Rattus norvegicus: one gene and its partner. The protein of the gene in region 2 purifies or fractionates together with the protein of the main gene of each other region. This does not show direct contact. Links are inferred from orthologs where the notes say so. Each region holds a gene or a part of one and is shown on either strand. Other genes may lie near its edges.

Region 1 (4,292 bases), on a different chromosome or scaffold from region 2:
TAGGACTCAGCAGCAATCCAGGCTGGCCTGGAACTCACGGCAGTTCTCCTGTCTAAACTTCCCGATTGCTGGGATAACAGATGTGAGCCACCAAGCCCAGGCTCCACTGTTGTTTGCCTCGCACAACATGAACATCAGTGACAAGAGGATAAAGACCAGAGGATACCACCTGTAGGTGGCGCTGTGTGGAAAAGGAGAAGATGGAAGCTCTAGGACATTGCTTGGACTATGGTTTCTTAGCTAGGACCCCAAACACAGGGAATCAAAGCAGAAACAAGCAGGGTGGTAAAGGAATCAGTCATTTACACAGTGGGAAAATATTTCAGATTATACATCTGATAAATGCTAATGTCTAAAATATATGGAGGGGGTTAGAGAGATGGCTCAGCAGTTAAGAGCACAGGCTGCTCTTCCAGGGATCAGAGTTTGATTCCTAGCATTTGTTTGGTGGTTCATAACCATCTGTAACTGTAATTCTAGGGAACCCAACACCCTGTTCTAGCCTCCTGAGACATTGGACATACATAGTTTGTAGAAATATATGTTAGCAAAACACCCATACACATATTCTTTTAATCTCAGAAAATGTTAAATAACTTAAATAAAATAAAATATATGGAGATATAATATATATTATATAAATTATAATATATTATATAGTATATTATATAAATTAATATATTATATATAATTTTTATAATATATATAAATATTTATAATATATTTATATGTATATAATATATATATGAGATGACTCCAAGGATAAAGGCATTTACCACAGCCTGAAGACCTGAGTTCAATCCCAAGAGTCAAATGTTAGGAGAGAACCAACTCCTGCAAGATGTCCTCTGACCTCCACACGTGTCCCATGCCATGATCCTGTATGTATACACACACACACACACACACACACACACACACAGTATACACAGTTTACGCACACAGTATACCCACACAGAATACATACACACAGTATACACATGCACACACACAAACACACACACACACACATACACACACGGTGCAAGAAAGCCACTTAATTTTAGAACCCTAAATTAAGCAGCAGGGCACCTGAATGGGTATTTCTCAAAGGAAGACATCGGGACAATGGAATTAAGCCACAATGAACTATCGCCACAAATCTACTGGAAGTGGCTGTTATGAAAAAGACAAAAGCTAACGTTAACAAAGGGTGTGGATGAAAAGGAACTGTGACGGGCTGGAGAGATGGCTCAGCGGTTAAGCCTGCTCTTCTAGAGAACCTGAGTTCAAGTCCCAGCAACCACAGGGTGGCTCACAACCAACTATAATGGGATCCGATGCCCTCTTCTGGTGTGTCTGAAGATGTTGACAGTGTATCCACATATATAAATAAATAAATCTTTTTTTTTTAAAGTCCAAGAAAAGGAACTGCGTCAGTTAGCATAACTGTGTCAGTTAGCATAGCCATTTTGATAAACAATATGGAGATCTCTCAAAAACCTCAAACCAGAATTAGCATGTGCTCTAGCAAGCCCCCTCCCTCCTGGCTTGTTCTGAAGGGATTGAAGATCGTGTGGGCAGGAGGCATCTGCGCTCCGATGTTAATTGTGGCGTCACCCACACGGAAGCAATCTAGGTGTTAACCAACAGAAGAAGAGGCAAGGGTAGCAATGCAGTATCAGAAGAACGGGTTCTATCATTTGGATGACCCTGCTAGCATAAGTGAACTAAGCTAAGCTAAGCACAGCAGGGCAGCGGTACCGATTTCACAGGAGGGGCAGATAAAGGTCAAACACACCGAAGCAAAGAGCAATGATGGTCAACAGAGGCTGGGTGTGGGGAACAAGATGGGGTCATGGGGATGACTGTCAAAGGGCACGGACCCTAGGCTGGAGAGAGAATAAGACTGACTGAGGTTTTGCAGGGCACAGCAACCATAGTTGATAATGAAGCGATATGTGTACATTTCAAAACTTAAAAACGAGTGGACTAGAAAGGTTCTTGCTAAAACATTGCGAGATGACAGACATATTAGTTAGCTTGGCTCTCTCTTCATATATACAATATATGCATATATTAAAACACCCCCATTGCGGCCCAGAAATATACACAATCAACTGAAACGCAGGAGGAGTCATGGGACAGAAGACAAGGCAACTGGACTGCAGGAAAGCTCACAGGCCTTCCGTAAAGGCTTTTAGGACACCACAAATGAGATCAGTACCCCAGCAGCCCCAGGCCCTGACGCCGACCCGCTCAACTCACATCTGCTCCAGTCAGGGGTATCTAACCCTGCCATCTAACCCTAAAGAAGGGTACAGCCCAGGACCCAGCTGATCACACGTGTGTGCCCAGCCTCCAGCCCCCACCCTATGAGGGTTTTCGGCCTACCTCGCTCCTATCTCCCATCTGGAAAACTGCGCCACTCCCACCCCACCCCCCACGCAGAACTTTGCGGCGCCATCCTCCCGGCTCGTGGCTTGATTTTGACCTTTCCCCCTCCCTCTGGTGCCAAGATCATCAAATCCTGCCCGCTCTACCTTCAGGCTGTGTCGCGATCCTACCCTTTCTGCACTCCCACACCCACTACTACAACCGGCCCTTGTCACCTTAGCCAAAGTGCCCTTCCTTCCGGTCACTGCCTTCCCGGGCCCAGCTGCTCTCTTGGGTTTCTCTCCTACGCGTAGCCCATCCAGCCGCCCACAAGGTCGCTGCGGTACCCACCCGCACCCAGGCGCGCATGCGCGGGATGCGGCGCGCGGAGCCTTGACAAAGCTGGGAGCCCGAACAGGGCCCGAGACGAACCTGCAAAAGGCGGTGGGGACGGTGCAGGCACGAGAGGTCTGGGGAGGAGCGCACCGACTCCTGGTGTCGCACCCCGGCTGCAGCGGCCCCTGCCGGAGACCGGGAGCGCGGCAAAATATTGGTGGGACTGCGAGGCAGTGGAGGGTGAGGCGACTTGGATGTGTCTTTGTGACCTTCCAAGATCCATTCCTCTGTCCAAATAGGTCACGAACTAACGCCTACTCTGTTGCCTCCTTGAGCACGCTGGAGGATGGCAGTTTCAGTACCGAGCTTAGCAAAATCAGAGTCGTTTCCCCTGAAATTCTGCGGCAAACCCTGGCGAGTAGCCCTCCATCACCCACGGGTTCTAGCATTCGTGGTATTGTATTTCATCAAAGTCCTAGGGACTTCCCCCCATATCCCAGCCCTGATGCACCATCCACTCCAACCTTTTTTCTAGGCTTGGAAAGGCCACCTTTCCCCAACCTCCGCACTCAAGATATGGTCTGTAGTGGAAGTTCCTGTTTGTGACCTGTGATGCTGAGGCAAGACCCATGGGAGGTCACCGTGATGTTTGGAGAGCACAAGGACCCAATGGACAGTGATGAGGTGCTTGCCTAACTAGCTTTGCAACGCTTGGTTGGTCTCAAGTCTTTGCTGATTTTTGCTTTGCTGAGGGAGGCGCAGCAAAGAACTCTTCCTGGTGTCCCAGCGGGTCCAATTGGGCGGAGGCCTGGCAGTTTCTGCTGGATCGTGCTGCCACTGCTGACTCGTGTTTGGTATCCTAAAACTAGTGAACTGGACTGCTGGTATCCTGACAGTGGAGATGAGAATCACTGCAAACAACTATTTCTAAACGAGTCCACATCTCCTTGTCCTTTTTACCATTTTTTATTTCTCCCCAACCTTTGGACAGTGGGCTAGAAGGAGGGTCAAAGCATTTGAGAACCCTTACTAAAAGTAGGTTTTGAAAGCTCTCAGCCTATAATGTTTCCTCAATATTTTGGAATCAGTGGCCAAGGGAGTGCCAGAGGGCAGGAAAATGTAATGTCTGTGATGAGACTTCCCAGGCTCAGGCTTTACTCAGGTCAGACTTGAAACTTGGTGATCCATACCACGGTAGGTGCACATGGTAAAAGATGCCACCAGAAAGGCATCTGGGGAGCTGGGAGGGTAATAGAGAAGAGTCTCACAAGCAGGAAGGATTACAGACCTTTGAAAAGCAATCTCCTCTAAGGAGAGACAAAGGCATGTTGAACCGCTGAGTGAGAATCAACGGTGCTTCTGAGGTTTCGGCGAGCAGTAGTTCCATGCACTGTATGGTTATGGTTTTTGACCATACAGGTGCTTGAAAGTGGAAATGGCTGATATAAAACTAAAGCTCACTGGTTCACTGAACTCTGCAGTGCTTAGATTCTGAGGAACTATTCCAGGGCCTCTAGAAACTTTAAGGAAGCTGGATTCATAGCCAGGCAGTGGTGATGGACACCTTTAATCCCAGCAAAGGCAGAGGCAGAGAGGCAGAA
Region 2 (3,500 bases):
GGGAAATGGCTCATTGGTAGAGCACTTATGTAAAATACCTTATCTATTCTCTAGTGCCAGGAGGGAAAGGAGGGAAGAACAGGATAAGAGCTTTTCCCTATTTATTACTGTTAGAAATGTTAAAGGTAATACTGAATGTCACTCTTATTTCTGCCACTACTCAGCAAAAATACTATTCTGCTTCTGGACTTTTACAGGTTGATCTCTCAGATGTACTGTGTAATTTGTTTTCATGATAATTCTTTCTTTTTAATTACTCCAGGGATCCCTTTGTAGGTTATATTATAGAAAGCTTTAAGGCAAGACTTCTGTGTCTCTTCTGTTTCCTATGAAAGACTTAATCATCTGTTTGACTGTATAACTCCTACTTAAATGCAGGCCTTCTTCAGCTCATTTCAGTAGTCTGCTATTTCACTCCTTTTTCTTTCCCCAACTACTGTCAGAGTTTGACAGGGAAACTTGATTAAGTATTCCAGATTATGTTCTAGGTTTTGACATTTAATACCTCTAAAATTTTGGTCCCCAAGGATTGAAGAGATGAGATGGCTCATGGATAAGATCTGTGGCTGGTCTTCCAAAGGACCTGAGTTCACCTACTTGGTGGCTAAAAACCAGCTGCTAGTTCCAGGGGACTGGGGACCTCTTCTGCCTCCATGGGAATGAAGCACACAAGTGGTGCACAGACATACATGCAGGCCAATCACACATGACATTAAAAATATTTGACAGCTGGGCTATAGTAGTTCACACCTTTAATTCAATCACAGCACTTGACGGATAGAGGCAGGCAGATTGCTAAGTTCAAGACCAACCTGGTCTACAAAGCAAATTCTAGACAACTAGGGTGACATACAGTGTCTTAAAAAATAAAAAGCAACAACAAAAAAATTGTCCTGGAGGTTCTACTTTCATACTTTAGTAATTGCTCCTGCTTCATGGAACATGACACTTTAATCCAGTGACTGTTCCAGGTTCCGTTTTATGTGTCAGCTGTTTTGACATTCTGTCAGCTCCCTCACGTCACTGTATATTATGATTCTAAAAGACAGTTTGACAAGCCATTTCAGCTTATTTCAGTTTGGCATTTTAAAATTAGCTTCTATGTTCAGGATGTATGAAATTTAGAAAAGATGAATTGATGTCACTCCTTTCGTTGTAAGAAAAGGCTTGCTGCCCAAGGGAATGGGACTGTTCTGTTGAGAGAACTGAGACAGAACCCAACAGGCCTGAGTGCTAGATCACAGTCTTTATACTGTACTTTTGTTAAACAATTCAAGAACAATCATAATTTTTTTCTTCTAGGTTTCAATCTGAACGAGAAAGTGGAGACCGAAATTTTGCAATAGGATATTACTTAAAAGAAAAGAAGGTTTTACATTTTTTTCCTATTCAATGTTACTTTTGTTTAATAAAAGGACATCTAAGAACTCTACATTAGCCTTTAATTATATAAAGTAAAAAGTTTTTACAAAACACTCTTGAGTCAGTGTTAGCCTATTACTCATTAATATTTAATTTATGTATTTGGTAGTATTAAAATATTTGACTACATTCGTACAAATTCTGGTTAGTTTGTTTTTTTTTTTTTTTTTTTTTTTTTTTTTTTTTTTTAGTTTGTTTTTTTTTTAAGTGCAGTATTTGACTACTTTAAAGAAATGTAAGGTTATATGATTATAAATTATTTAATGGTTAAAATTTAGGAATTTTATATAACATGATGTAAATTTATTTTATTATTATATTCTTTTATGGCAAAGTAAAACATTTTATGTACCTTAAAGTTAAATACTGGTGTGTTTTTTTGTGTACTTTTTTTGTCTGGTTTTTTGTTTGCTCATGTTTTCATTGCTTTTCTGTATTTTGGGATTTTGCTCTTTTCCAGTGTTTTCCAGAAGGCACAGACATGGTTGGGATACTAGATTTTTATTTCCAGGTAATTTTTACTCTTAGTTGTTTGAATTATCTTTGTAAGTAAATAGCTCTGTCACATTTTATAAAATATAGATGTCTTAGAAATCCTGACTCTAGGCCATGAGAGAATAAATTTCCATTGACTTTCAGATGTCATGAAAGGTTGCTTCAAGTCCATATATCCTAAGAACCCACACATGAGAACGGGAGGTGGGAAACAGTGTAGAAATACATTTAGATGAAGAGGGACAGTTTTAAAACCTGATTTCTCCTGTTGTACTTTTATAGATTTTATATTTGCCTTGGAAAAACTTTTTTCAGAGGGTGTCTAGCAATATTTTGAAGTGTCATTCTTTTCTGCTGTCTTGTTATCCTCTTAACTGCATCTTTTTTTATCTGATTCATTTGGCATTGAGAATTGTTCAGCACATGTGTCATGTAGTATGCCTGGGCCTCTAAGTTAGGATGTCAATGTCAGGAGCATCCCACACACATAATTTCCTATGGTGCAGACATCAGTTTAGGACAGTCTTCTTGGAAATCCCTCCCTTCCCCATGTAAATCATGCTGTAATGTGGAGATGTGTAGACTACATTTTTAATTTTCTCATTTACTTTGTGTTTGTCTTTACCTGTGAAGGTGCTTTGATTTTTAACCTTATAGTATCTTTAGAAGATAGCTCGATGGGAGTGCAGGTCTCAGATTCTTATTTACTTAGTGTGAGAGCTGTAGTGGGGATTCAGTCTATCAATATAACATTAATTCAAGAATGACCTATTTCATTTACCAGCAAATACAACACTGAACATATCATGAGACGTGAGTAACTCCTCAAAACTCACCTGAAATTAGTGTCAGTTTTACTCTAACCTATAAAACATTTAATTTTGGCTATTACAGTTAGATTAATACTACTAATCTATTGTAAAATTTCAAATCTTTAGTATAGAAATCAGGAGACACCCATGGTGGTGTTACTATATTCTGTGGAGAAATGGATTTTACTAAGAGAACATCATGCTTTCAGGAAATCATTTTTAAATTGATATTTGTCCAGTTAGGAGACTATTACTTTATGATAAGTGAATTGATTAATACTTAATTAGGACACAATTAAGGGAAATTATTTTGTTTTAAAAAGTTCTTCCCTTCTTAGGTAGTGATAATGGGAATTTCAATCCTCTATGAAAAGCAAAATTCTGATTAATCCTAAGTATAAATTAGAAAATTATTTAAATGGGAATTTAAAGTTTACTTCTGAAAGTATTTGCCCACTCAGGCAGTGATAATAGGAATTTAAAGCTCTCCTTCTCTCTTTTGAGATGGGTTCTGGCTGGCCTCCAACTCACAGTACTGAGCTATGCAGGGGTTTTTGTTTACAACCATACCTGGCTAAATGTTACTTCTTTTAGAAACTATTTTCCTAATAAGACTTTTGCTCTGTGGGTCAGTGTAACAACTTGATTAGGGAAGCTATTCTTCTCCCCTTGGTTGCTGCTAATTAAGAGTAAAATGTGAAGGAACATTATTTTAGGTTTATGGGTAACTTTGGGTTTTGTGAGGTATATTATTAATGTTGTCAATGTTCT

Evidence for each region. The genes of interacting proteins can lie anywhere in the genome.
Region 1: the proteins of Gls (region 2) and Sirt5 purify together in Homo sapiens (affinity purification with western blotting; 3 studies listed by BioGRID and IntAct, with this or other methods). This does not show direct contact. The link is inferred for Rattus norvegicus from reciprocal best matches to the Homo sapiens genes GLS and SIRT5.

The regions. Positions count from the first base shown.
Region 1 is NC_086035.1:21,540,257-21,544,548, forward strand, and holds the start of Sirt5 (NAD-dependent protein deacylase sirtuin-5, mitochondrial), read right to left. Parts: upstream 2,801-4,292; 5' UTR 2,788-2,800; exon of another isoform or gene 2,374-2,787; intron 1-2,373. UniProt on the Homo sapiens protein: NAD-dependent lysine demalonylase, desuccinylase and deglutarylase that specifically removes malonyl, succinyl and glutaryl groups on target proteins.
Region 2 is NC_086027.1:56,874,584-56,878,083, forward strand, and holds part of Gls (glutaminase kidney isoform, mitochondrial), read left to right. Parts: intron 1-1,302; coding exon 1,303-1,369; intron 1,370-1,882; coding exon 1,883-1,933; intron 1,934-2,701; coding exon of another isoform or gene 2,702-2,716; exon of another isoform or gene 2,717-2,730; intron 2,731-3,500. UniProt on the Homo sapiens protein: Catalyzes the first reaction in the primary pathway for the renal catabolism of glutamine. Plays a role in maintaining acid-base homeostasis. Regulates the levels of the neurotransmitter glutamate, the main excitatory neurotransmitter in the brain.